Linked DNA regions of Mytilus edulis. The protein of the gene in region 1 purifies or fractionates together with the protein of each later gene. This does not show direct contact. Links are inferred from orthologs where the notes say so. Each region holds a gene or a part of one and is shown in the gene's direction. Other genes may lie near its edges. The genes, in order: protein smoothened-like, cAMP-dependent protein kinase catalytic subunit 1, beta-arrestin-1-like and ubiquitin carboxyl-terminal hydrolase 8-like.

Region 1 (7,504 bases):
CTGACAGAGTGCAAACCTTAAGTCCCCTTCGACTTCATCAGCAGGAGACTAATAAATAATTAGCTTTCTCTGTTAAAAGAGTCTTCATGGGAGATAATTCATCAAAATTCACTCAAAGGTTAATTCCTTTAAAATAACAGAATTATCCATTACAAAAATCAACAGCTTTGGAACTATAAACTACTACAATAAATAGGTCCTTCTCTGATATTTCTGAGTAATTGACATTTACTTACCTTCTCCTACTCATAATTCTTGCACTGATTGTCTCCCCTTTTTTGTTTGGAATGGCCACTGTTTTGAAGCGCTGATTAAATTCTGGCTTACTTCTGGATAAAGTACCTTTTCCAAAAAATCCCTAAAAGTAAAGATGCAAATCCTTTGAACAAAACTTGTAGAAAAATTTAAGAATACAAGGGAGATAATTGTCAATTGAAAAAGAATGTATACGAGACATTTTAAAACAAGAATGTGTCCAAAGTACACGGATGCCCCACTCGCACTATCATTTTCCATGTTCAATGGACCATGAAATTGGATAAAAAAATATAATCAGGCATTAAAATTAGAAAGATAATATCATAGGGAACATGTGTACTAAGTTTCAAGTTGATTGGACTTCAACTTCATCAAAAACTACCTTGACCAAAAACTTTAACCTGAAACATGCACTTTCATTTTCTATGTTCAGTGGACCGTGAAATTGGGGTCAAAAGTTTAATTTGGCTTTAAAATTAGAAAGATCATATCATAAGGAACATGTGTACTAAGTTTCAAGTTGATTGGACTCCCAACTTCATCAAAAACTACCTTGACCAAAAACTTTAACCTGAAACATGCACTTTCATTTTCTATGTTCAGTTGACCGTGAAATTGGGGTCAAAAGTTTAATTTGGCTTTAAAATTAGAAAGATCATATCATAAGGAATATGTGTACTAAGTTTCAAGTTGATTGGACTTCAACTTCATCAAAAACTATCTTGACCAAAAACTTAAACCTGAAACATGCACTTTCATTTTCTATGTTCAATGGACCGTGAAATTGGGGTCAAAAGTTTAATTTGGCTTTAAAATTAGAAAGACCATATCATAAGAAACATGTGTACTAAGTTTCAAGTTGATTGGACTTCAACTTCATCAAAAACTACCTTGACCAAAAACTTTAACCTGAAACATAACTACCTTGACCAAAAACTTGAACCTGAAACATGCACTTTCATTTTCTATGTTCAGTGGACCGTGAAATTGGGGTCAAAAGTTTAATTTGGCTTTAAAATTAGAAAGATCATATCATAAGGAACATGTGTACTAAGTTTCAAGTTGACTGGACTTCAACTTCATCAAAAACTACCTTGACCAAAAACTTTAACCTGAAACATAACTACCTTGACCAAAAACTTGAACCTGAAACATGCACTTTCATTTTCTATGTTCAGTGGACCGTGAAATTGGGGTCAAAAGTTTAATTTGGCTTTAAAATTAGAAAGATCATATCATAAGGAACATGTGTACTAAGTTTCAAGTTGATTGGACTTCAACTTCATCAAAAACTACCTTGACCAAAAACTTTAACCTGAAGCGGGACAGACGGACGAACGAACAGACGGACGAACGAACGGACGGACGAACGGACGCACAGACCAGAAAACATAATGCCCCTCTACTATCGTAGGTGGATCGTAGGTGGGGCATAAAAATACATTAATTATGCAATAAATCAATTAGTAACCAAATTAGGTAGAGAGTGTTTTAATCTTTGAAGATTATGAAAAGTTCTTCAAAGCCAAATTTAAGATATTTAAATTATTTTAGTTGTCCGACTGTTTACAGTATTAAAACAGTTTGTGAGTCAGTTGGTCAAGTTAACAAGGAACATCTATAAATTCCTTTGAATAGTTAACCTTAATTACTTGGGGAAAAAAAAAAAAAATAGTGAAGCTGATTTTTAAGGTATGCTGTATAACAACTTTATGCCATAAACAATTATTATTAATACAAGTGTTATATGTAAATGTACATGTATATAAATTTTACATAAATAAGGCCATTAGTTTTCTCGTTTGAATTGTTTTACATTGTCTTATCGGGGCCTTTTATAACTGACTATGCAGTATGGGCTTTGCTCATTGTTGAAGGCCGTACGGAGACCTATAGTTGTTAATGTCTGTGTCATTTTGGTCTTTTGTGGATAGCTGTCTCATTGGCAATCATACCACATCTTCTTTTTTATATGTACATTGTTTTTGTACTTATAAATAGTTTTCTCATTTATTTGTATTGATACACATTTTTCATATCGAAACCCTTGAGCAGCCATCATTTGGGTAATGGGTATGGGTTTTTTTCTCTGTTGATGTCTGTACAGTGGCCAATTAATAGAGAATAATACATGGCAAAATCCGTATCATATGTTGTATCATCCCGAGACACCAATATCAGCCCAAGGGAAAAATATTTCTTAAGTTTACATTATAAAAAGTGACTTCATGTAAAAAAAAAAAGTAGGGGTGTGATAAAGGGTAAAGGTGTGATAAAGGGTATGCGATAAAGGGTAGGGGTGTGATAAAGGGTATGCCATAAAGGTTGCAAATCAAAGTTGCGCGATATGGATTAAACAGCAAGCTATTTATCAAATATTCAAAACTACTGTATTTACTACTAAACCTATGATAAAAGTATATCTACTTCAAATACACTCAGGTGGATAGTTGTCATATTGGCAACCATACCACATCTCCTTATTTGAATATAAAGGTCCTTCAAGGACCTTTCATGGAACAAATCTTGCACAATATATAAATGCAACTTGAACACACAATAAGTGTAAAACTTTTACTTAGGATCTCACCATTTTGTACAGTCTGTCAATATCTCCACTATGTTTGATTTCTATGTGGTTATCATGGAGATAGCCTGTGTAGTAGAACCATGTGTTCTCATACTGTTCTGTTGCTATGGGAACTGGAAATGGTGACTCTTTGGCTGCATGTACTCTTTTCTTCTTTTTTGGATTAACCAGCTTGGAGAATGCCATACCAACAAATAGAAACTTTTTTTTACCTGAATAGAAAGCAATAGTTACTATGCTTGGAAAATTATTGTTTGTCTTTTTATCATGTGGTATGATTGCCAATGAGACAACTCTCCACAAGAGACCAAAATGACACAGAAATTAACAACTATAGGTCACTGTATGGCCTTCAACAATGAGCAAAGCCCATATCCCATGGATGTCAGCTATAAAAGGCCCCAAAATGACAATGTAAAACAATTCAAACAATTCAAACTAACAGCCTTATTAAACATGTTAGCTGGATCCCAACCTTCTCCTTACCCAGAACAGTGGTGTAACAGTACAACATAAGAACAAACTATAAAATCAGTTGAAAAGGCTTAACTTACCATTTAGATACAAATAGAAATACATATTACAAAAACAAAGTCAACATAGTCTAATTGGTACTTCAACTACTTGTACATCCGAATAACAAAAGATACTATATAAAGTACACCTGACGTGTTTAGGTGGTAAACTCATGAAGAGCATGTCATCATGTAACATTGTAGATTTTCTTTTAATTTTTTTCTGTACTTGGCTTTTCTTCTCTTTTTTTTAACAGGTCAGGAATAACCACCAATTGGTGGATTATACCTCAATTGACGTATAATCCACCAATTGACATATAATGGTATAGACCAATTGGTGTATAATTCTTTGTTTTTCAAAACAAATTATTCCACCCAAATGGAGCATTGTTTTCTTAAAACCATTTTATGGTATGAAAACTTGTCAAACATTCCTAGTTTAGTATAGTGACATAACATATTGCATCTAATCGATAATTGTATTTGAAGTTTCTTCTATTGTTATCTTGTCAATTCCTGATTGGCAAATTTACCTGTAATCACCTGTCAATGGACATCATTACTGTCTGCAGTCATGTGATCATGTGTACAACTCCACAGGTGAATGGTGCTCTTTGTTAATAGTTGACCTTCATTATCAAAAGTCAATCATGGTCAATAGTACAAATGTTTCAACAAAAGAATTGTTGTACACATGCATTCTCAAGAGATGCAGCAGGCTTTGACAAAACTGAAATTTCGGAGGACTCAATAAGGGTTATGAAATAGGTTGCAAGTTGCAAAATCATGCTCCTATCTCACACTAGCATTTAATTACAAAAAAAACTTGCATTATACATCAATTGGTCTATACCAATATACCTCAATTGGTGGATTATACGTCAATTGAGGTATAATCCACCAATTGGTGTTTATTCCTGACCTGTTTAATATGTACATAGCCCTTCCCCCTTTTATTATTAAACACTATTTGTTTGTTAAATGTATCAAAAATCATAATTATATTGAAAAGTTTGTCTCTATTACTTAATTAATCTCCTTGTTTTGATTTAGAACGCTTTCTTTAGCCATATGTTTATCAAACCAATATTTCTCATTGCACATGTAGAGGTTAATATTGAGAACGGATGTCAGCATTGTCACGTGATCAATGGATTAATTTAGGTCAGGTAAGAACACAGGTTGTTGGCTACTTATCAACATTTTATTGACTTATTTACATAGTCAAAGTGTTTAACAGATTATCGATTACAATCAATATTATCTTATGTTAGTAAATGGCGGGTAGTTTGATTTGAAAGCGAGTACAAAGTAGAGAAACTGACCAAAAATGTATGGTTGACCTCACCTTGGTCTTTGTTGATTTTCACACAACTTCAAAAATCTAGAAGCTATGACTACTATTGTGTATTGCTTGATGCAAATATCAGTTGAAAAGAGACATTTAAAAACACAAAAGAAACTGACATTTCTTTATATTAATAGGGTGTTATCACATGTCATGCATGTGAAGTTATTCAATTAAAAAAATTAAAAAATAGAAAATAAGGGTATACTCTTCTTAGTCTCTATGTATAGTCTACTGTATCACTAGTCTGTCAATATTGAGGTTGTGAGTTTGGCTCTAAAACAGGGTTAGTAATTTTACCTACGAATGTTCATAATACAATGACTCTCTGCACCCTGGTTTTCTCCAAGGATAAAAACTGACCCCATGAAATAGCACAATATAGTTATATTAACAGTCAAGGGTCTAACTTAAATAAGTTATTAGAGAAAAATAACATACATGTTGTTATTGTGAGCTAAAATATCAAAAAACTGTGATAACATATGTATGTTACATGTTTCAAAGGGGAAATATACAACGTTAACCTTTCTTTTGTTAAATTTTTCTCCAGCTCTATTGATATTATAATTTTCTTTAAGTATACTAACCTTTGCAAAGATATAACAGCTCATAGTTTAGAAATCATGCATAGTACACCTATGTTATTACAGAAAATATATTCCTGCAATAACCAAAGGGTGTTATTACAGCTTCTCTATCATGTCTATATCTCTTTACAGTCTTGCATAACAATGTATTTCAATTTATTGTAAGAAATGATGATAGAGCTTGTAATGAGGCACTGTGCAAGATTCCAAGTGTCTCATTTACTCTCATATACAATGTTGTAAGTTTTATGCTTGTAATAACTAAGCCTTGTTATTACAGTTTAGTTTTCCCTTAAAAGCCTTGTCTCATTGATTTACCATGGTTGATCAAAATTGTATTAATGGAATTAAAAATTAGTTATCAAGGAAATATATTAAACTACTGCGCAAAGTTTAAAGAATTCCCAAGTGCCCATTAAAGATAAAATATTTATGATATATTTAACTGATAACAAACATAATTATGTTATTACAGATTAAGGAAAAAAGAGTAGACAACTCATGAAAGTGTCTGTAATAACACATGCATGTTATTTTTCTCTGATAACTTATTTAAGTTAGACCCTTGACTGGTTAATGACTAATTATAAACTTCTTTTTTTTTGCTATTAATCCTCGCTGCAGAGCACAGCAGTATGGATTTCCACTGCAGAGCACAGCAGTATGGATTTCCACTGTAGAGCACAGCAGTATGGATTTCCACTGCAGAGCACAGCAGTATGGATTTCCGCTGCAGAGCACAGCAGTATGGATTTACACTGCAGATCAATAGTATAAATGTAGATGTATGGACATCAAAACAAAAGAATAAAATAGCATTTCAAGGCATCATATTTATTTGGACTAAGCGTAATAGCACTTAAAGTGGTGTTAAACATCAATCAATAAATATGATTAATAAATATATATACCAAAGGTTGATAATTAGATTTGACATAATTTTAATTTTGCTGTGTGGCCCTCTTACGATGTCGTAATATTATTATTGCCCTCTTACGATGTCATAATATTATTATTTTTAGAAATTAATAGAAATTTTGTTCTTAATTTTGCAATGTAATAATCATCAGTGAATGATTACAGAAAAATTGGAATATTTAAAAATTCTATACCTACATGTATTGTGTTCTTGTATTTTTAGAAATATCCAAAAGTAGTGATAAAATAAGTTAGGGTTCCATTAGTGAGGACAATAACCATGATAACCTACTTCTTTTTTCAAATGGTTTCACTTAGGGATATTCTAAACTAAATTTACAAACCAAACTCTTAAAAAACATTTGAACCCAAATTTCCAGGATCTTCGATTTTATATTACAAAAAAATATATCTGAGAATTGAGATTTGTCAAAGTTTATGGAGTTCAGTGTATATCTAGATTTTTTTGTAGGAAACTAATAGTCAGTCAGGGGTACTACTTGTACAAGTAATCTGTATTTACTTGAAGAAGTAGAAATAAATAATAATTTATAAACTGATATAAGTTAATTATAATGTTTGAATTATCTCCCCTTAATTTTCTCAAAAATTTACTTGTGTAAGTTTTGAGGTGTAAGAACATGCGTTAAACAATTTTTCTCAAGTTAGGTCATAATTTTTTTATAAGAGTTCAATGTTTCATTTCATTAATTCATAATAAATATTCCAATGGTAAGTCTGGCTCCCCTTAGTCTTGTTAGTGAAGAATGATCACAAGCTGTCCTTTGGATTCATACATGTAATTTGTTTTCTTGTTATTTTGGTAATTGTGTAGGACTTAAAAATTGGTTGAATATTTTTTTCACTGTCAAAGACAGAAGTCGTGAACAGCAATGAACAGGTATCAATGATTTGCAGCATCAGCTTATTAATGTATGTGTGTTTTCATTTCTAATTTAGTCAGTTTGAAGACTTGAAATTCTCAGTTATCATGGTTATATCTCTATTCTTTATAACAATTGAAACAATTTGAATTGATGTCCTGATGACAATTTTTTTTAAGTGCTCAAAAGGTCATAACGTAGAGGCATCCAGTATTTGGCAATTAGTCAATAAGTAATTATATCTATTTAAGTGTCATATTTAAAGGTCAAAGTTTAAAGAGAATTTCATTCATAAAATCTGTCATATTTTGCATTATAGACATGATAGTTGATTAAAGCCTGTTTTTGGATGAACGACTTGTCAATTTTTTGGCCTCTTTGAATATTTTTTACGTTTT
Region 2 (7,361 bases), on another chromosome or scaffold:
AAATGTCGATAGAGATAAAATCATGGTCACCGTGGCTTACGCAAAGGACATTGCAACCGAAAACTGCAAATAAGTAAAATCAGCTTGTTGATGGTCGCCATGATCTGAAAGCAGCCGAACACAACCCATACGATTTTCAGCAAGGGACACGCGTTGTGACATATACTTTTTACGAGTATTCAACATCCACTATTTATATATACGGTCACTAGAATATCAAAAGTTATATATGAAGAAGAAGAAACAAAAATTCACAATGACAATCCTTTCATAAAGTTCTTTTACTGATAGGTATCAGTATTATTGCACAGTATAAAATGACAAAGCAGCTATTCGCACTTTATTTGTTGATAAGGAAATCCTGCCATTTTATACTCCGATATCAGTGGTAGTACTTACAAATATCTATACTGCTTAACAACGCCGACCTTGTGTGCACTTTTAATGGTAAATATGTGTACAAAGTTCAAGTATGAAAAAGAATTTAACATTGTAGTATGAATAAATTGAATTGACGTAAAAATATTTCGTCTGAGACCTAACCCAACAAAAGTTCTTCCTTCAACAGGAACCAATCATCTGCAAGCACTGTTTTCAACTACCTGCATTGCTCAGTTAACTGCATGCGCCATATAAGATATAAACATGTTGTTTTTATAAAAATTTTGACGAGACGTAGTATGGTATACAAATGTCCGGCGTCCGTCCGTCTGTCTGCCCGTCTGTTCGTCTGTCTGTCCGGCGTCCACATGTCGCACCGTAACTTGAGAACTACTTATCCAAATTTCATGAAACTTGAAATAGTTGTTTCTTATGATGGTCAAACGATCTGTATACTTTTTGGTGGAAAATAAGATTTAAACTTTTTGATTTACGAGACTATATAACTGAAACGGGGTGGGGGTTACACGTCATGTCGCGCCGTATCTAAAAAACGATTTATGATTGTTGCTTAAAACTTTACACACTTCTTAGTTATATTAATCTAAAGATCTGTATACTTTTTGGTGATGATTCCAATTTTGTTTTAGATTTTATTGAGTTTTTTGTAAAAAAAAAAGGGGGGTGACATGTCGCGCTGTATCTCAAAAAACGAGTTATGATTATTGCACAAAACTTTACACACTTCTTAGTTATATTGATCTAAAGATCTGTATATTTTTTGTGATTTTTCAATTTTTTATTTTAGAGTTATTGAGTTTTTTTGTAAAAAAAAGGGGGGTTTTCACATGTTGCACCGTATCTCAAAAACTATTTATGATTATTGCACAAAACGTCACCACCTCCCCCCCCCTATTTTATCCTTGGTTGGACACCTCTTTTAGAATTGGCTGGATCCACCCAACTACACTTGATTTATGGATGCTTAATTGTGTATAATGACTACTTGGCAGATCAACCAATACAGATGGATGTTGCGTGGAATCACTACCTTGAATATTTATATTGTATACGTCTCAATACGGGACAACTTTTCGACAGGTATTCTCTATTGGATAACCACCACTAAAAATTGAGACCAACAATGTTAGGTCTGCAACTTTACGGTATCATACTGCTACTGAACCTATTGTGGTATTAATAGCTACACAGGACTAGAACCATCAGAAATCAATTATATACATGTTTTTACTTCTGAAATTAAGCCCAACAATGTAACGCCCCGGCCGTTCACACAGTAAAAATTTACACGTGCACATAAACACGTGTGTAAAGTTGCCTGAGTATGTAAATGTAAGTATACAATGCGTTCACACAGGGACTTTCTATCCCTGGTTCACATAAATGTATTTGTTCCAATAATAAGTGTTTTCACAAATTGAACTTGTTCATTGAGTCAATTGATATCTAAATGTGATGTTCAAAATCGGCACGTTCATCCTCTTTATATAGAGCTGCAGATGTATATCTATTTATATATACAACTCGTCTAAACATCAACCCAACAATGTTAGATCTGTAAATTTGTTTTCGCAAATTATTTGTTCTTCCCTCGCCGGGACTCAAACCCATGCTACTGAGATATCGTGACACCAAATCGCCTGCACTGTAGCCGTCCCGCTAGACCACACGACCACTTGGGCTTCATAAAAATGAAGCTTTCGGTGGCCGGGTGTTACCTTTCCACGTCAGTTTTAATCTAGCGTCGTACTACAGTACATGATACGTATCTATTTATATATATATATAACTAGCATTTGGATGAACCTATATATATAGGGTAATCCAAATGCTAGTCCAGGGTTTTACATAACGGACCCACGGAAACAACGGTTAGGAGTGGAAATATGTTTTAAGCATTTATGTACCTTCTCTGTATCGCACAAACAGATTTTCACATTAGAGCGCTTTCATCAAATCACAAATTATTTTCAAATATTTTCGATATATTTGGTAAATCAAAATATGCATTCGTAATTATATAATGAGCCCGGAACTCGGCATGGGGTCTACAGGCGATATATAGTTTTCAAGAGTGGACCTTAGGTACCTAAATATTTCAACATTTTGATTTTTTCTCTTCTACTGGAAGGAAAAATCACCTTTATCGTTTGATTCTTCCTACGAATAAATTGGTGCATTACCTCCGTGTCTTGGTTTTTTTTTTACAATTTCCTCCAGTTAGTCATGTATAAGGCCAAAGACCACGAGTTGATAAAAATATGAAAAAACAGAGAAAACCAACGACTTGATTAATGATAAAAAACAACACAGAAACATACAAAAAATAAGGCAACCAGCAACCAACGACAACCACTGGATTACAGTATCCCGTGAAATTGTATATAGCCACACACGAACAAGTCGGAATGTCGCGGGGTTAATCATGTTTGTGAATTCTCAGCCCTCCCATAACCTCCAGGACAGTGGTGTACCAGTACTGTACATAATAGAACACATTGTAAAAATAAGTCGAAAAGGGACTAGACTCGACGGATTGGTACATTCCATCGTTTTTTACCATTAAATGTTATAAAATTCATTATTATCCAGGCAAACCTATTGGATTTATAGAGAAACTACTTTGTGGATTAATCATTTAGTTTGATACTTTGGATAATTTGAAATAACAACTTCATATCTCGTGTGCCTCATAAGAAGTTGTCTTTAATTTACTAACTTTTAATGTATTGTCCTTTTTGTTATGCTGCAGTGGAGGGGTTACTAAGTGTTATTCTTGTCCGTCTCAGTGTGCGTCCGTCCGTACACGATCGAGTACGTATGTACCAAAATAAAGTTTCGTTCTTTAACTTTAGTAAGTCTCAACTCAGATCAAGTTCAAACTAGGGTGGTGTCACTTTTACCGTTCGTGAGTTATGTTCTTTTATTACGTTCGTATATGAAAGCGGGAGATTCACTCATCTGTGTTCCATGGACACATTCTCCATTTTTTTATTGTTGCTGAGGGCATATCTGGGTATCCTCTATAAAGTTTTATCAGAACGTACTTTAGTAAGTCTCAATCAAATGTTAGGAAATATTACCACAAAACTCAGATCAAGTTCAAACTAGGGTGGTGTCACTTTTACCGTTCGTGAGTTATGTCCTTTTATTACGTTCGTATATGCAAGCGGGAGATTCACTCATCTGTGTCCCATGGACACATTCTCCATTTTTTTATTGTTGCTGATGGCATATCTGGGTATCCTCTATAAAGTTTTATCAGAACTTTTCCAAAATGTGATAAACAGCAAGCCATATGAAGACACTTGTCTGTTGTCATGATAATGTTGAAGGTGATATCTTGAACTTTACCATGTTTTTTTGTGTGTCGCTGACTTTCTGTTTCAAAACAAAGCCTCGGACAGGCAGCTTTCAACTATTCAGTACAGGAGTTGCTTAGCCTCATGAAAACTTAGGCCTATTTTTTTTTTAAACAACTAAAACTCAAAATACACTTGATACATGAATATTGCAAAACAAAATCTATATCTGACGGGGTTAAGAATTGTAATATGAAGAAGATAGAAAGTCTAAGATAAGATAAAAATTTTATTAATCTAATCAAGAACCCATAAAGGGCATCATTTTGCAACACAATATTATTGAAAAAAACGAAACAGAAAACTAATACCATACTATAACGTTATGGACAGGATCAGAGCCTAACACAACATGTGTTTTATATAACTATTGTAATAAATCTTATAACAATAAAATATTATATTATTTCATTTATTTTATGTATATGGTTTGTTATATAATATAAACACAGATTTAGTTTTATTGAAAATGAAGGACACGCGTAGATATTAAATTCATTTCGAATAAATCCTTTGTGCTTTGCAGTAGACAAGTATAGTATGATACCTTTACATGTGCCTCTTATGTGCTTTGTTATCAATTTGTCATTTACCTGAGAAAAAAAAACTTAAATATTAAATTTCGACATATGTTGTTCATAGGTAACGATAAAATGATGATATATTCGTCTACACACAAACTTTACAAGTGATTTTCTCGTCTAAAATTAGAAATAATGACTAAATCAGAAATACGGTGAATGAAACAACTGTCCCAAAACACGCCATGCGTAGTTTTTCAAATCCCGGCGACACTCATGCGTAAACTTTTGAAAATTAGGCCACTTTGAATGGTAAACAAAATATCTTAAACTTAAATTACACATCGTGGTTCGCATCTTATTACTAAAAGACCATCTTAAGGCAGGCAGGACAAACGTCTTGGAATGGAAGGGTGAATAATTTGACTTGTTAGCTGTCAATCACACTGGAAATATACATTTATTTCTGTAGTACGCAGTAATTTATCATTATATATAGTGCGGTTAAAACATTATGTGTGAATTCTACCATGTGTACACTAAATTTGGAAACAAATAATGGGAAAATAGGCTAAAAATATTTAAATGTACTTTGTATGAATGGATTGAAATGCACTCGCATGGATCAGATTTCGTGTGTACACAACAATGAGACTTTAAGGATATTTTAAGGAGTTTCAGTGTGTGACAAATTCTACGGTAATCTGATATTTTGAATAAAAATGGATTTCTTCTTTGACTTGTTTGACTCTGAAAAGAAAAGAAAAGCACAGCTTCAACAACAACAACAAAATCAGGAACAAATTCGGAATAGAACTGGGAGTGGAGGAGAACTACCCCCTCTCAGGAGAGACAGGGGTTACAGAACTTTTAGTTTAAGAAAGTATGATCAGCGTGAAACCAATAGAATTCGTGATGAACGTTTGAAAAGAGAACTTCATCGACTCTACTTGTGGGACAGTAAGTTCAAAACTCTATACTACATAAATACAGCTTAAAATTAGGTTAGTTCATGCGCTTCTTTTTCTCTTTACTACACATATTATAATCAGTTTGTACTTTCAAACTGCACACATCTGGTTGTTAGATATCATCAAGATACACGTGAAAAAGATAAACACAGAGCTCTTTTCGTTATGCAGTAAAAACAGTTGAAAAACTTTGTCAACATTGAAAATATGTATATTTAATTCAGAATTTATTCTACAAACGTATTGTACATGTTGTAATGATATACAATCATATAGATCAGTATTCATACGAATGAGGGGTTTCGGGGTTGAAGGAAATTTCTTAAAATATATAAATAAAATTTATCTTCAAAAAGGTCAAAACATTTTCTACTTTTAATGATAAGATTAATTATCACATGGTTGTAATCCTCAAAATATATTCTGATGTAAAGCTACCTGCATGGTCGAAATATAGTCACTAACTCATTATTATGCTTAGCATCTTCAGATAATGCTGTCATTTGTAATACTGCCCTACGGCGGTGTACATAATATATATCCATTCATTTGTCATCCTTCTGTGGTCCCATCATTGCGACTCATTAGGATAGATTTCATTGTTAAATTCTAATTTTAGCTCACCTTGTCCACAGGTGAAATAAATAGGTTTTGCCATTAAGTTTTGGTTACACAGAAACAGAAAACTGAAAAACAAAGTACTCATTTTGAAAGAACATCTCCTCTAAAATACGTTTTTTTCCTCAACATATTGGAAATTATTTGCCTATGTCCGATAGCAAACAATTTTTTTTAATTTTTAGGACAAGAACAAATTATTAATAACCTAGTATAAAAGTTAGGTTCTTCAGAAAAGGTCCATAGAAATGAATAACGATACATTTGGACTGCTACTATTCAAGAAAGTGGAATGGAAAGTACAAAAGTATTGCCACCATTGGCCACAGCTAACCTTCATGACTGTCAAATAGTTGTTTCAAAGGGCCCAGTAACCATGGTAACACATACACGTGGCGCTTTAAAGCCCCAGTAATACACACACGTGGCGCTTCAAATGTTCATTGACTCGCACTTGGCGCTCCAATGGTCAATTAACGAATACACGAGGCGCTCCAAATATCCAGTAATTAATGCACACACATGGCACTCAAAAAGTTCAGTAACACGCACGTGTCACTCCAAGTGTCCAGTAGCACAAAAATGGCGATCAAAAGGTACAGTAACACTGATTCGTACGTTGCGCTCCAAAGGTCCAGTAACTCGTACATGTGGCGCTATAAAGTTCCAGTAACACACATACGTTAAGCTCTACAGACTTAGTAACATATGTATACGCACACACTCCAAAGTTACAGTACCACATCCGTGGGGTTTTAAATGTCCAGTAAAATATACACGTGGCGCTCTTAAGGTCCAGTTACATACACACATACACACGTGGCGCTACACTGTGAAGGTTCAGGAACACACACGTTGCGCTCTAAAGGTCCAATAACATTTTTGAGGGGACATCTGACCTCTACTTCATGGACCATTGATCCATATTCATTATTAAGTGGACTTCCCAGTTCTGTTGAGTAATAAGTCAGCTAAATTTATGGAATCAGTGTCAGTAGTCTGTCTGAAACTTGACCTTGATCATATATTAAGTGTTCTTTGATCAAGTTAGCTGTTTGTACTGAGGTCAGTTTCTCAGTTACTATAACTGAAATCTTAAGTATACGGTCGATCTTATATAACTGGCCTTGACCTAATTTTCATGGTTCATTTAAAAAAAAGGAAAGAGTTTGTGTTTAGGTTTACGTACCAGTTTATAAGAAACAGGCTCTTTGCTCGTTGTAGAAGGCCGCACGCTGACCTATAGTTGTTTATTTCTGTGTCATTTTGGTCTCTTGTAAAGTGTTGTCTCATTGGCAATTATACCACATCTTCTCTTTTATATCCACTCATATTTGGTCTTTAGAAGCCTTGATTAGGCAATATGACTCGTTTGGCTTTGATCTAATTTCTGGGGTTCATCGATCAGTGTAACGTGTTCGTCTCAAGGTCAGTTTTTAAGAAAGTGCTTGTGAAAAGTCAACTGTTTATTCGATATTTTATAGAAT
Region 3 (7,378 bases), on another chromosome or scaffold:
AGGTGGTCATTTAACTACCTGTAGATTTTACCTGGTTGTTTTTTGCCCTAAATTTTTTTTTCAGGTAGTTAAATGACCACCTATTGATAATCTCTCACAAAACCTATTGTACAGTTTAAATGGACAAATTGTGTTGACAATTTTTTATCCAGGTAACACTGTAGGTATTATAATACCCCAAAGGTGATCGGTTAGGCACAGTAATAAGACTAAATTAAGGAAGATCTCATGTTACATGAGTACATATACATATTTTTAAAATATGCATATCTTTCTCCAACATTTGTATACAACAACAACAGATTTTTATGCATTTCAAAATGTATGATAGAAATGGTATTACAGTATATTGGTAGAATTTATTAGTGCATCTTTTGAAGCTAAACGATGAAACATTTGAATTCTCTTGGTGTCTCACTAGGAAATGGAATCAATTTTCCGCCATTTACTGTACTTGAGGAAACACCATCAGAGTTATCTAATAAAGGTAATGACAAGTTGTGTGAGTATAATCAAGAGTGAAAGTTGTCTATTACTTCACTGATTATTGATGATACAGACAAATCTATAGATGTCTTCTCAACAACAGATGTACATTTAAGATCAGGAACAAAATTGTTGAACATTTGTACATCCTTATGCTTTAAAAATTCTTACAACCTCATGAGAGTGGTTACACATTTAACCCAAACTATATTTAAAAGTACATACATATTAATAAAAATATTAGAATGAATTGTTTCATGTTCGTATTTGATTTTGTTTCTTCGGAAAAAGGGTAAATACCGTAGTCTATTAACTGTACAACAGATCTAGACTTATATCCTTTTGTTGAAACCTTGAGGATACATTCGCACATTGGTGTTTACATGAAAAGCATGTCAGGAAGGTAGTTATTGTAACAATCTAAAAATATCAACAATATACGCAGGTGATTAAAATTCATTATTCAATTAAAGTAAAACATTAAATCTTTGACATGTGCTAAATGGCAAAGAACTGCTATTTCTAAGACAAATTGGGATAAGCATTACTACAAGACTTAAGCTAATAATACTGCCTGGCTATTAGATCCCATTACCATCATGTAGCATGTGTCATCTTACTGAGCTGCCATTGACCTTATAGAAAGGGTAAATAAACTTATCAGAAACCTTATCAGAAACCAATGGACAAGTGGAAACCCAACTTGGATCAAACAATTAATTAAAAATGGTTAAATAGGGAAAATGATATAGTTTTTTTATGAACTAAATCATTTCTTTGTAATTGTTTACAGCTGTGTAATTACTTGTTACAAATTGTGCATTTGCTGACAACAGTGGCAGATCCAGGGGGATGGTTCTGGGGTCCTTTTTTTGGACTATCAATGCATTTAAATGGGAACATATAGTTGGACCCCCCCATGGACCATTATTAAATATCTGTGTCATATATATATATATAGATGAACATATTAGCCACCACAACCATAGGTTTATATTTTAGGTTTGTTTGTAGTGTTGAACAAACAGAACTGTCTATAGCCAGATCTACAAATAAAAATTCATATCTTTATTGAATTATTTGGACAAAGATACAATTTACTGTATACTGAAAACCAAAGTCAAATCTTAGATATTAAATAAAGTTGACAATCATTTCAAGCTTGATTATTCCACACAATAATTATAATAGTCTTGCAGATACAAGCTGTGATGGTTTGTACTTTAATAGAAAGTCAAGATAACCAGTGTTGAAATAAAAAAAAAATAAGTAGACATCTATCCACCAGAGACCAAATGATGTAGATAGTAGCATGGTACAGTGTGGATAGTTATTAGATTTAAACTTCAGACAAATTTTTAAACACTTCCCTTATATAATTACAGACATTAGAGAGGTAGTGACAGAGATAGACGTACCTTCTTAATTTATAGCTCTTTCTCTATTGAAAATATATACTTATACTTTGAAATTGCTCAATATTTAATTAAGTCTAATCAATTTTAAAATACAATTACATTTTTTCATTTTGTTAGTAATGTTTTTTTTTAATTTGAATGGATACTACTCTGTAGAATGCCTAAGATAAACTTGATTACCCCAGGCTTATGGACTAGTAGCAGTTACATGTAGCACATATTGATTGCTAGTACATGTAGCTGTACACAAATTGACAAATAATAATTACTAGTAGCTGTCAACACATTAGGATAACTAGTAGCTGTCAACACATTAGGATAACTAGTAGCTGTCAACACATTAGGATAACTAGTAGCTGTCAACACATTAGGATAACTAGTAGCTGTCAACTAATAAAGATTACTATTAGCTATTAACAAAATCATGTTTGTTCAGTAGAAGTCACCACAAGAATTATTAGTAGCTGTCAACTCATAATGATTACTAGTAGCTGTCATCACATTAGGATTACTAGTAGCTGTCAACTCATCAGGATAACTAGTAGCTGTCAACACATCAGGGTTATGAGTAGCTGTCAACATATCAGGATTACTGGTAGCTGTCAACACACTAGTATTACTAGCAGCTGTCAACACATCAGGATTACTAGTAGATGTCAACACATCAGGATTACTAGTAGCTGTCAACTCATCAGAATTACTAGTAGCAGTCAATTCATTCAGATTGCTAGTAGCTGTCAACAAATCAGGATTACTGGTAGCTGTCAACTCATTAGAATTTCTAGTAGCTGTCAACTCATCAGGATTTCTGGTAGTTGTCAAATCATCAGGATTACTAGTAGCTGTCAACTCATCAGGATTACTAGTAGCTGTCAATGCATCAGTATTACTAGTAGCTGTCAACACACCAGAATTACTAGTAGCTGTCAACTCATCAGAATTACTAGTAGCCGTCAATACACCAGGATTACAAGTAGCTGGCAATACACCAGGATTACTAGTAGCAGTCAATTCATACGGATTACTAGTAGCTATCAACACACCAGGATTACTAGTAGCTGTCAACTCATCAGGGTTACTAGTAGCTGTCAACTTATCAGGATGACTAGTAGCTGTCAACTTATTAGGACTACTAGTAGCTGTCAACACACCAGGATTACTAGTAGCAGTCAATTCATACAGATTACTAGTAGCTATCAACACACAAGGATTACTAGTAGCTGTCAACTCATCAGGGTTACTAGAAGCTGTCAACTTATCAGGATTACTAGTAGCTGTCAACTTATAAGAACTACTAGTAGCTCTCAACTTATAAGAACTACTAGTAGCTGTCAACACACCAGGATTACTAGTAGCAGTCAATTCAAACGCATTACGAGTAGCTGTCAACACTACAGGATTACTAGTAGCTGTCAACACATCAGGATTACTGGTAGCTGTCAACACATAGGGATTACTAGAACCTGTCAACACAGCAGGATTACTAGTAGCTGTCAACACATCAGGATTACTAGTAGCTGTCAACTCATCAGGGTTACTAGTAGCTGTCAACTTATCAGGATTACTAGTAGCTGTCAACTTATTAGGACTACTAGTAGCTGTCAACACACCAGGATTACTAGTAGCAATCAATTCAAACGGATTACGAGTAGCTGTCAACACTACAGGATTACTAGTAGCTGTCAACACAGCATGATTACTAGTAGCTGTCAACACATCAGGATTACTAGTAGCTGTCAACACATCAGGAATACTTGTTAGTAGGAGCTGTCAACACATCAGGAATACTTGTTAGTAGGAGCTGTCAAGACATCAGGATTACTAGTAGCTGTCAACACATAAGGATTACTAGTAGCAGTCAATTCATACAGATTACTAGTAGCTATCAACACACAAGGATTACTAGTAGCTGTCAACTTATAAGAACTACTAGTAGCTGTCAACACACCAGGATTACTACAATCATCACTTAAGAATTACTACTATGTCTTATATCATTCCCAACAATTTGGTATTTGTTTCATGGTCTGTGCCATCATCACTTTTTTCTGAGAGCCGTTTTTTTTTGCATTCACAAGAGTTTGGTTGGCTGCACAATAGTTAATATAAGTAACTAATAAAGTCAACACATACATGTATATATAAAAAAAATCATATTATTATTCAATTCCTACACATTAATTTGTTAAGTTAAGTCCCAACAAACATGGATGAAAAGTCATGAAATATTTGACACTGGACACTACATAAGCAGACAACACAAATCAATAAACCAACAAACAAAATTATGTTGACATTTTCCATTGATTTCATGATAAATTATGAACTATGAAAATCAAATAAGTTGTGAAAAATTAATGAAATAGGAATGTCACAAGTCAAAATATGCTGGATATTCATTTGCATTAATGCAGCATCTGTACTTCTATGTACATGTATGAGATATTGTCAGTTTGTCAAAATGGTGTATAATTCATTAAGTGAGATAGATACTGAAATTATAATGGAACAAAGTATGAGGTAGGTTACTATTGAGGCATGTATCATGTTGTAATGTTCTCTGATTTATATTCTAATTGGTTTTAGACCATATATGGCATCAGGGATCTCAATGGCCTGTTTAATGATGGCGCCCCACCATCGTTCAAATGTCTTGCGCCATCGTCATATGACTTGCGCCATTGTCAAATGACTTACGCCATCGTCAAATGACTTGCGCCATCGTTAAATTGTCTTCCGCCATCGTTCAAAACTTCATCGTTTTGTTGTAGCTGGAAATCAGCCATACCGGTAATGGGTTCTGAATTTGACAGTGTCCATGAAAAATAAGCTCCACATCATATGATTTTTAACCCCCATAACAATTACCAAAAATACAAGAAATCTACATGGGTACCTTCATGACAGCTTTTGGTCATTTTCGACTAAGGGAGGACCATGAAGACTTGGCATTTGAATGGTTAAAAACGGCAATAAATGAAAATATTGATGCTTCTAATTCTATAATGAAAATTCAAATAAATATAATTTAAATAAGCAATGAATTAGCATGTTCACCATTCCTTGTATGGAGGGATAAAATACTTCCGATCGCGCTACACTGTACAGCGTAGACACAGTTTGTAATGGTGAAAGTTCCTCCATCGTTCAATTTTCATCCATGGAGATCCCTGGGCATACAAAACAAAATCAAACTATACTTTTTTACTTGGTGTATAGGGATGCAGTTTCAGTTTCAGCAAATTATAGTCGCTTTGACCTTCATCCAATGCTTTTTAAAATGCCTTAATTAGAAATAAACAACCTAGCTCTTGCCTCTTGAGTTCACATCAAGAAGCATGTAAGTGTGTGTGATAACATGTGCTTAATGATTGACTTCAAACACTAGTAGGTTTCTCTGATATTTTACTCCTTTAGACCCTGTGGATTCATTATTATTCAGTGGATACAAAATTTTGTGGATTTTGTGGATTTAGGTGAAACAAGAAATTAAATAATCAACGAATGACAAATTTTATAATGGCGTGTATGAAGACTTTGCCAAAACCACAAAATTAGATATACATGAACATGGAAGTTTTCCTTCATCCACGAAAAATTAGTACCCTGAAAATAAATGAACTTTTGATTCAATATAGTTAATTTACAAGTATTTTATTCCTGCACTGTGAAGTAGTCCAGCAACTCTTAAAATATTTCTTTAAGACAAGTGTTTAAAGGATTCTTTTCTGTATACTTGGGTTATAGTTTTAATTGATGAAGGTAACACTGTCACCGTAACAGATCTCTGAATTTTAGCTTACCTGACCATAAGGCCAAGTGAGCTTTTCTCATCTATTGGCGTCCATCGTCTCTTATTTTCAGCCATACACCATTAACTTTTACAAAAATCTTCTTCTTTAAAATTATTGGACCAAAAATCAAAACTTGGCCACAATCATCATTATGGGGATCTAGCTTACAAAATGGGTCCAATGACCCCATTTGCAAATCAAAATGGCCAACATGGCTATATAATAGAACAAAGGGGTGAAATGCAAGTTTTGTCAATTATTTTGGAAACTGTTATAAATAGATAAAATCTGACAAGGGCAGAAATGGTGTGAGTTTTCATCGTCGATCAACTCCTTATTAGAGTTTGTAGAGTTATTGCCCTTTGATGACAACTGTTACTTTTTTGGGTTTTTTTGCCTTATATCAGTACATGTAAACTTTAAAATTACAATGATCAACAAGGCAAGTTCTACAATGAAGTCAATTTCTAATAATATAGCTAATAGACAGTCACTCTTTATAGAAGTGATAGACAAAACAAACAAAAAAGGTGAGCAACACATGCTCTTTCAAGAGCCTCTAGTTTGATTGAATTGAAAATTTTGTAGCATACAAGTCCATTCTGTTATTGTGAAATAGTTCAGACTAATTCATAGTCTTATTTCACTTCCTCCCAGACCATCATAAGTCCATCCTGTAATAAAGACATAGTTCAGCCTGTTCTTTGACTTATTGCACCTTCTCTCTGACCCTTATAAGCTCATCCTGTGTTTTGACATAGTTCAGACTAATTCATTGTCTTATTGCACCTCCACAGTCTGTCATAAGCTCATCCTGTTATCAAGACATAGTTCTGACTGTTCTTTGACTTATTAGGCCTTCTTCCATACCACCAAGGGTAATGTAACTCAGCCTTGACATATAGATCTTGGTAAAATCATGATAACCAGATTTCTCAAGAGTCAGTATTGTATATTCAGCAGATATAAATCATGATACTCAAAAGTTCATTCTGACTTCTGATCAATAAATATACAGAAAGGATTTTCACTTGAAGTTATTGATTTTGTACTTAAAAGTTACAATGATTCCAGTACAGAATCACTCATGTGTGTAAAAACATAAGGATTAGAGGAAGTCTTTTGTTTTTTCAAATTTTGAATTATAAACAAAGCAGTGTTGATGTAACCGAAGCATATATTTGTCTTTTTACATATTTGGTATTAGGCTTTCATCGCAAGGGAATGGACTTGTCTTGACCACAAAATAAAAAGTCCATTCATATTTTAATTCGTTGCCAAGTATTACTGCACGAGATTTTGAATTTCATGGTACTACACATACAATCTCAGTCAATGATTATTGACAATCAGTGCGACCAGAATCCCTAAGATGTATATCAAATGATATGTTAAAATTCAGAAAGCTTCTTAAACAAAACCAAGTTGAATTTGACTCTTTTAACCCTGTGATTAAGGCAACATCATTTCTTTTTTTTTCTTCATATATATATGACGCCCGTCAAGCAAAAACCACCCTTATCGCATTTGACGTCGTTATCGGTAGTCAACGCTAAAATGTAACGTAGAACAAACCGATAAATTGCACGTTGAAATTGAAATATTTTTTCTAAACATCATAGCGTTATCCATGCGAACTGAATAGTATATTCTTATATTACATATAAATGCTTCTGTAAA
Region 4 (7,548 bases), on another chromosome or scaffold:
CATAAATCTAAAACAAACTGACAACTCCATGGCTAAAAATGAAAAAGACAAACAGAAAAACAATAGTACACACGACACAACATAGAAAACTAAAGAATAAACAACACGAACCCCACCATTGGCCATAAAATAAGATGTGGTATAATTTTCAATGAGACAACTCTCCACCAGAATTTGTCTTTCCCATTTCTCAGTAATAACAGAGTATTAATTTTTTATATATATTTTGGGTTGTCTCTCTAACCTGACACTGTAGCAAACATCATTAAGGTTTTCCCTTTCTTTGACATTTTAATCATTTCTTCTGGTTTACTTGGGTCTAACTTTGACATATCTATTTTGGGTGGTTCTCGTTTCCATTCAGGAAGTTCATCTTCTTCTAACTCGTCCTCATCATTGTCCTGAAAGGTAACCATGGTAACCATTAAAATTAAAATGAACTAAGTATGTGAAGACGTTAAAAATAATCTTAATATGTTTAAGGCCACACTTTCACCTGTAACATGTATAATGGTTTACTTATTCAAATTGTGACTTGGCTGGAGAGTTGTCTCATTGGCACTCATACATTTGTACAACATGTTCAGATATACCACATAAAAAAAAAGATATTTCTACATGTTCTAATTTATCCTCACCTGCATAATGATGATCAAGAAGACACTAAATTAACTTTAGTAGTGCAGGAATACAGCCGATCTCCTTTATCTGGTAAATGATGTCATAAAGGCGCTAAGTGACAAACTTTTCTAATGAAGCCAAAGGACATTACTCAAAAGTGGTCTATTGAATTATAATAGTATTTTGCTAATAACTTTCTATATCAATGAAGAACTTTTTCTGCTCACAAAGAATAAAATAAACTGGCATTTTCAATTTTTAAAGGTGTGAAGTTCTTTTTACTATCTGTCTCACAAATTCAAATATCTACATTCTTAATCAAAAAGACCATAAAGAGCATATAAATCAACACAAACAACACATGCAATCTAACTGATTGCTGAAAACTAAATATGATTTAAAACAAATATGGAAACATGGTCATGACAGTAGAAAAAAAAATCCAAAAAAAATCCAAAATTTCCCAAAATTTTCATTGTACTAATGAACTCAAAATCGTTAACTTTTTTTTGTCACTTTTTTTAATTCCTGTATTTACGCAGAAATTGAAATTCTTCCTTTTTCCGGTCTCATTTTCATGAGACTTCGAGTAAAGTATATATCTATTAGTCTAGTAAAATGTAGGATTGGAAGGAACCGACCCACATCTTCCAATCATATACCTACATGACCTAATCAATACCAATTTCATTTTTAATATGAATAAAACTTTACCTGATGATATCGTTTCTTTGTTTACATTGAGTATGACGTCATAACTTAAATAATGTCACAACTAAAATCCCTAACAGCACAACCACAATCGGAATGGTATTTCCGTTTCTTTTTTTTAACAGATTTTGAAGTTTAAAAATGTTTGAATTGGGAGAAAAAAAAATAATACAGACTTCGTCCCCTCTCACAGGTAATGCCTGCCTCTTATTTAAAAATGTATGTACATGATAGTAGAGAGCCAGTACAAAGAGGAATAACTATTTATCAATTGTATCTACTTTTAGTCTCTTTTTTTCTTATCTGATCTGGAAATTTTTATTCTCAGATCTGCAGTGACATCACAACATGTAACTGACCAATCAATGATTAGCATTTTTGTTATGTAAACAATGTTGATAGGTGATGCGGATAAGATTCCTCTAGATTTTCCATAGACTTATTGCAAATTAATTTAATTGATATATATCATAACCAGTTGAATATAGTAATTTTACTCTTTTAATACTGTTAAAGGCACTATATACTACCTCCATTTTGATTTTTAACATACTATAACCTCTGGTTAAAAAATAATCGGCAATATAAATAATCAGTTATCCCCTTCAAATAGATGAAAAATCTAGAGGATTCCGGATTTCATCACCTCCAGACAAATGTAAATGCCAGGATGTCCGGATCTGAGAATTTAGGTATATAAATCTGTATTAAAAACTAAATCTTCATTTGTCATTATCCAGATAAAGAGATTTTCTAAATTTATGATTCTCAGATTTAGAAACTTTTGAAATAAAAAAAAACTCTGTCTAATTAAGAAATAATTCATGGAAGCCATAGATTATTGGAAATTTACACATGGCCTGGGCCGTGATATTCGAATTTTATCCTGAGCGTTAGCGAGATTTTTCATCTATTTGAAGGGGATAACTGATTATTTATATTGCCGATTATTTTTTAACCAGAGGTTATAGTATGTTAAAAATCAACGTATCAGAAAACTTTCAACTGTAGCGTTTTCATTTGTATGACGTCATGTTTTGAAATGACTTAAATGCGCCAAAAACATTTAGGAAAAATTAATTCTTTTAGTAATAATGTCCCAATTAAAAGAAAATTTGAAATTTGGAAAGAGGAGAAAAATCCAGAAAAATATATATCACCACTAGGAAAAATGTACCAACAAACTGAAGATATGAAAGATACAGAATTGGTTGATATAGACAAGATAGAACCGCAGTATGAATACCAAGGTCTAGTATCAGTCATTAGAGCCCCTGACTACTGGCGTAACATAGGCAGCTCAAAATCCAGAACAACAGCCCAAATAGAGGAAGGAAAACAAATCATCTCGGAACAACTCCAATCTCAAACACCAAACACAGCAGTTGCTTTTACAGATGGGTCATGTTTAGGAAATCCAGGCCCCTGCGGTGCAGGAGCTATAATTTACATTAATGATAAAGAAGAAAAATTAAAAAGACCTGTCTCTAACAAAGGATCAATCTTGCTAGCTGAACTTATAGCAATAAAAATGGTTCTGGATTACATAGAATCTTTTTCAAAAGAGCAAATTAATACTTTAACTTTATTTTCGGACAGTCAGACAGCATTAGGTATCTTAACTCTCAATTGGAAAAGTGACAGCTATCATCAAACCATTAACGAAATCAAAGGGAAAATAAAAAATTTAAACGAACATGGATTTTTAATAAACTTAAACTGGACACCAGGACATGCCAACATAAAAGGAAATGACGAGGCAGACTCCTTGGCAAAAGAAGCTGCTAAAGAAGCAGAAACACTAGCCGTTGATGATATAGTGTTTACAAAACAAGATGTAAAAAAAGCAGCCAGAAATTCTGTTACAAAAAAATGGCAACGCAGATGGGAAAATAGTGATACTGGACGTCACTATTTCAGATTTCATCCTGAAGTTAAAGATAAAGTTAAAAAAGACTTCCCGTCAAAAAAAATGTACAACATAATCAACAGTTTACGAACAGGTTATTCTAAATTAAATGCATACCAATTTATAATAAACCAGCACATCGACACGAAAACCTGTCATCACTGCAAACAAAAAGAAAATGTACAACACTACCTTTTTGAATGTGACCTGTATTCAGATGCCAGAGACAAATTATTTCATCAAATATACTTCATAACAGGACAAATTCCAACAGATCTAGACAATTTATTAACAATCAATTTGCCAAATGCAGAAAATATCAATCAACTATTAGCGGAGTACATAGAGGAAACAAACCGTTTTAGTGGATAATTTGATACAAATTTCTTTAAATTTTTTATATTTTTAATTTTTCATGCCATTTCAATAACCTAATAAACCATTTTTTAAATTTATTTCACTTCATACAATAATTCTATAATATTTTTAAAGCGCCACCTACAATATATAAGTTCAAAGGAGAAACTACAATTGTGATAATTATTTTACAAGAGAGGATAATTTACAAGAGAGATTACTCTGTCATCACGACAAAGATTGAAGATTGAAGACATTAATAGACTTTCGCGGAATTTTATTTTATTTTTATTTTGTTGGTTTCTCCGAGTTCTTGTGCATTGCTTCTTTTTATTATGCATCCGAATAAGAATAAAAGTGATTTTGTCTTTTTTTAATTGCAATTTTTAAAACAATAAAATCGGCAAAGGGTTTTCAAATAGGTTTCAATACATGTGGATTTACGTGGGAAGTATATTGTAACAGCCATTTTTATGTACACCACGGAGTCTGCGCTAAGTATAGATATATCGAGAATTTTATCACAGTGTTGTTTACAAAGCGAAAGAAGCACATCATATTAGAATGGGAAGTAAATTATAACACGTCACCTCCCACTGATCAAACAGTCGTTCTAAATCAGCTTCACTGTAATCACGAATGTTTTTCTTCTTCCATTTCTCGTCTTTACCATTTTTTGTTTCTTTTTCGTCTGCTTTATTACAAATTGAAAGCAGAATTAAATTGAAAACTATGAAAATAATAATGTAAAACTGAAAGTTTCCTCCTTTCTCCACCATATTGAAATGATTATTACAAAATACAAATTTAAAAAAACGAATAAAATTGAAAGGAAAGATTTTATTTATGTTTTGTTCCAAATAGATAACATCTCATAAAAATATTATTTTAGTCTTTGAAAATTGATATCACTATCATGAATGTATAAAGCATATATATTTTTGTTTAGTTTCGTTTTGTCTAAGAATTTGTACATTGCATTATGGGATATGTTGTGACTGGAAGTGAAATATTCCTGAAAATGGTCTAGGAATACCTTAATTCTAAAGAACTCTTATATAACATCTAGTTGCTTGTTTTGTGGTAAATGTTTTTCCATAAGATTTCTTTCTAGATTTTTAAAATGTTTACTACTGACACTTTTCTCCAAATGTATTGGTGGTTGTGCCTGTTTGGTTGTACATTTGTAATTAACTCATGCAACTCTCACTTTCAGTCTTATGTACTTGTCTATATCCTGGAGAAGAAAGATACAGACTTATTAAGGAGTACAATAATAGAAGACCAGTACCATTCAAATGGATCAGCACATGTTCCAATAAGAGCGAAAACTAATATCTCGATAGCGTCTGATAAGATCAAAGGAAAAAAGTCAAAACAAAAACCATACTCAAATGGGAAGAAACCAATATAGGGTCTTATCAAGAAGCTATAGAAACACTACAGGAACATGGTAACACCACTGACTCTAAAGTAGACATAGAAGAACAGGCATTTACCATCATCAATATTCTATCCAACGCCAGCAATACAAATGTCAAGAAAAAAATAGTCTCTTTAAAAGGACCAAATTGGAAAGCCTCTGAGAAGGTTAAAGAGCTCATATCAAAAAGTAAGAATGCATTTTATAGCTGGAAACAAAATGGAAGACCCAAAGAGCAGGATAATATAGCATACACAGAAATGAAAAAATGCAAAAGAGAAGTAAGAAAACAAGTCCGCCAGGAAGATCATCTGGATAGCCAAAGATTTTACAATAACATGATGAATAATCCTGACTCAAAAACTTTCCACCGATTAATTAGGAAAAACAGGGCACAATCTGACAACTCAACAACACTAATAATAAAGGATACAAATGGAGATGATATTGTAGAACAAGAAAAGCAAACTGAAATCTTTGCAGAATTCTACGAAACTTTAGCAACTCCAGCTACAGAAGAACATTTCGACTCAGAATATATGGAAGAATGTGAATTTAGATACAATCTAATCAACTCAATTGTACATCAATCTGCCATCAATAGAAATGACATTACCAAATTTACTGAAGAAGAGATAAAAAAAGCCATCAATGAACTGAATACAGGGAAAACAGAGGATGGCTACTCCTTAACAGCAGAGCACTTTAAATATGCCGGTAATACAATATTACCAGATATTGCTAATCTCTTTAACAATATCATGCTGACAGGGACAATACCCGAGATATTTAAAACTGGCATCCTTACTCCTGTTCATAAAAAGAAAAAAGATCCAACCTTAACAACAAACTACAGAGGAATTACAGTCACCTCTGTCTTGGGGAAAATTTTTGAATATGCATTATTAGAAAAAATGCCTGACTTGAATGCTAATCAGACGGAACTCCAATTTGGCTTTACAACAGGTCTCTCACCAATCATGGCAGCTCTTGTTGTTTCTGAAGGCATACTTCATGCAAAACAACAAAACAAAAACCTATTTCTAGCAACCCTTGACAGTCAAAAGGCCTTTGATGTAGTACATCATATGATCCTGCTAGAAAAATTATACTATGAAGTTCCAGCAGATGTTTGGAAAGTAATTCAAAATCTGTACTCAAATATGTCAACGGAAGTAAAATGGAATAATCACTTCAGTAAAAAATTTCCAATAAAACAGGGAGTCAGACAGGGAGGTGTATTATCCACTCATTTTTACAAATCTTATATCAATGAATTACCAAAAGAACTAGAAAAAAGAGCCTTAGGACTATCAATAGGACTAGAATACTGTGGCAGCCCATTATGTGCAGATGATATTGTGCTGATGTCAACAGATGAAACAGAGATTCAAGCAATGCTTGATATAGCATATAAATATTCATGTGAACACAGGTACAATATCCATCCTCAAAAAAGCACTCTGATAAAGACAGAAAGAACGAAGTCAAAATATCAACCAGAAATAATCAGATTAGGAAATGAAGCAATACAAACTGATAACTAAGCAACACATTTAGGAATCATAAGAGCATCTAAAAACGAATCAAGAATAAATATACAAGAACATATAAGTATTGCAAGAAAGACTCTGTATTCTCTAATTCCAGTGGGACTAAATGGTAAACGAGGTCTTAACCCCAAAACATCTTACAAGATCTACCAAGCTTACGTACTTCCAAGACTGCTATACGGACTTGAAATACTGCCTCTGAATTTGACACAAATAGGAGAATTAAGGCAATTCCACATCAAAACTATCAGATGTTTCCAATCCCTTCCAATAAGAACTTCAACAGCTGCTGTATATATGCTTATTGGCGCAATACCAATTGAAGCTGAACTTCACAAGAGGCAACTTAGCCTGCTATATTCTATCCTAGCAAGTGAAAACACCAAACTAAGGAATCTAATGGAAAGACAACTGATTGTTAACTCAGAAAATCCAGATAGTTTCTTTCCAAGGGTCCAAGAAATCCTACAGTACTACAGCTTAACTCCAATTCACGAGCTAAAAGAAAAACTTCCAACAAAATTTCAATGGAAAAAACAAATTAATATAGCCATAGCCGATAAATGGACAAGTAAGCTACAAACCGATATGAAGGAAAAATCCACTTTGAAATTCTGCAATACAACAGATCTCAAAATTCACCAGACTCACCCAGTATGGAACTCTCTACCATCAGTAACATATGAGGTAAAAAAGGCACAAATCAAAGCCAGATTACTGACTGGTACATATCTTTTAGAATGTGACATACAGAAATTCAAAAGGGAACAAGAAAAAGCACACTGTACTCTGTGTCAGCTTGAAACAGAAACATTAGAACACTTCCTACTCAAGTGCCCAGCTCTGCACGAAAAAAGGCAAAACATTTTCCCGGACTTGAAGAAAATCATTATACAGTCTGTTGGAGATAACAAATGGAATGATACTTTCATAGGGAACCAGTCCTTAATAATTCAAATAATTATCGACTGCAC

What was found.
Region 2: the proteins of protein smoothened-like (region 1) and cAMP-dependent protein kinase catalytic subunit 1 purify together in Drosophila melanogaster (affinity purification with western blotting; 4 studies listed by BioGRID). This does not show direct contact. The link is inferred for Mytilus edulis from reciprocal best matches to the Drosophila melanogaster genes smo and Pka-C1.
Region 3: the proteins of protein smoothened-like (region 1) and beta-arrestin-1-like purify together in Drosophila melanogaster (affinity purification with western blotting, with the first as the bait; 4 studies listed by BioGRID). This does not show direct contact. The link is inferred for Mytilus edulis from reciprocal best matches to the Drosophila melanogaster genes smo and krz.
Region 4: the proteins of protein smoothened-like (region 1) and ubiquitin carboxyl-terminal hydrolase 8-like purify together in Drosophila melanogaster (affinity purification with western blotting, with the first as the bait; 4 studies listed by BioGRID). This does not show direct contact. The link is inferred for Mytilus edulis from reciprocal best matches to the Drosophila melanogaster genes smo and Usp8.

What each region holds. Positions count from the first base shown.
Region 1 is NC_092355.1:3,468,914-3,476,417, forward strand, and holds the start of protein smoothened-like, read left to right. Parts: upstream 1-4,490; 5' UTR 4,491-4,535; intron 4,536-7,504. Other genes in the region: tRNA-splicing endonuclease subunit Sen2-like, read right to left, coding at 237-358, 2,849-3,034. UniProt on the Drosophila melanogaster protein: Segment polarity protein required for correct patterning of every segment. G protein-coupled receptor which associates with the patched protein (ptc) to transduce the hedgehog (hh) signal through the activation of an inhibitory G-protein.
Region 2 is NC_092344.1:92,210,963-92,218,323, reverse strand, and holds the start of cAMP-dependent protein kinase catalytic subunit 1, read left to right. Parts: upstream 1-4,337; 5' UTR 4,338-5,007; coding exon 5,008-5,245; intron 5,246-7,361. UniProt on the Drosophila melanogaster protein: Serine/threonine-protein kinase involved in memory formation. Promotes long-term memory by phosphorylating meng and by regulating CrebB protein stability and activity.
Region 3 is NC_092346.1:87,676,404-87,683,781, reverse strand, and holds the start of beta-arrestin-1-like, read left to right. Parts: upstream 1-4,350; 5' UTR 4,351-4,365; coding exon 4,366-4,424; intron 4,425-7,378. Other genes in the region: serine-rich adhesin for platelets-like, read right to left, coding at 2,337-3,671, 3,853-3,870.
Region 4 is NC_092354.1:81,313,060-81,320,607, reverse strand, and holds the start of ubiquitin carboxyl-terminal hydrolase 8-like, read left to right. Parts: upstream 1-4,545; 5' UTR 4,546-4,681; intron 4,682-7,548. Other genes in the region: LDLR chaperone boca-like, read right to left, coding at 245-401, 4,189-4,377.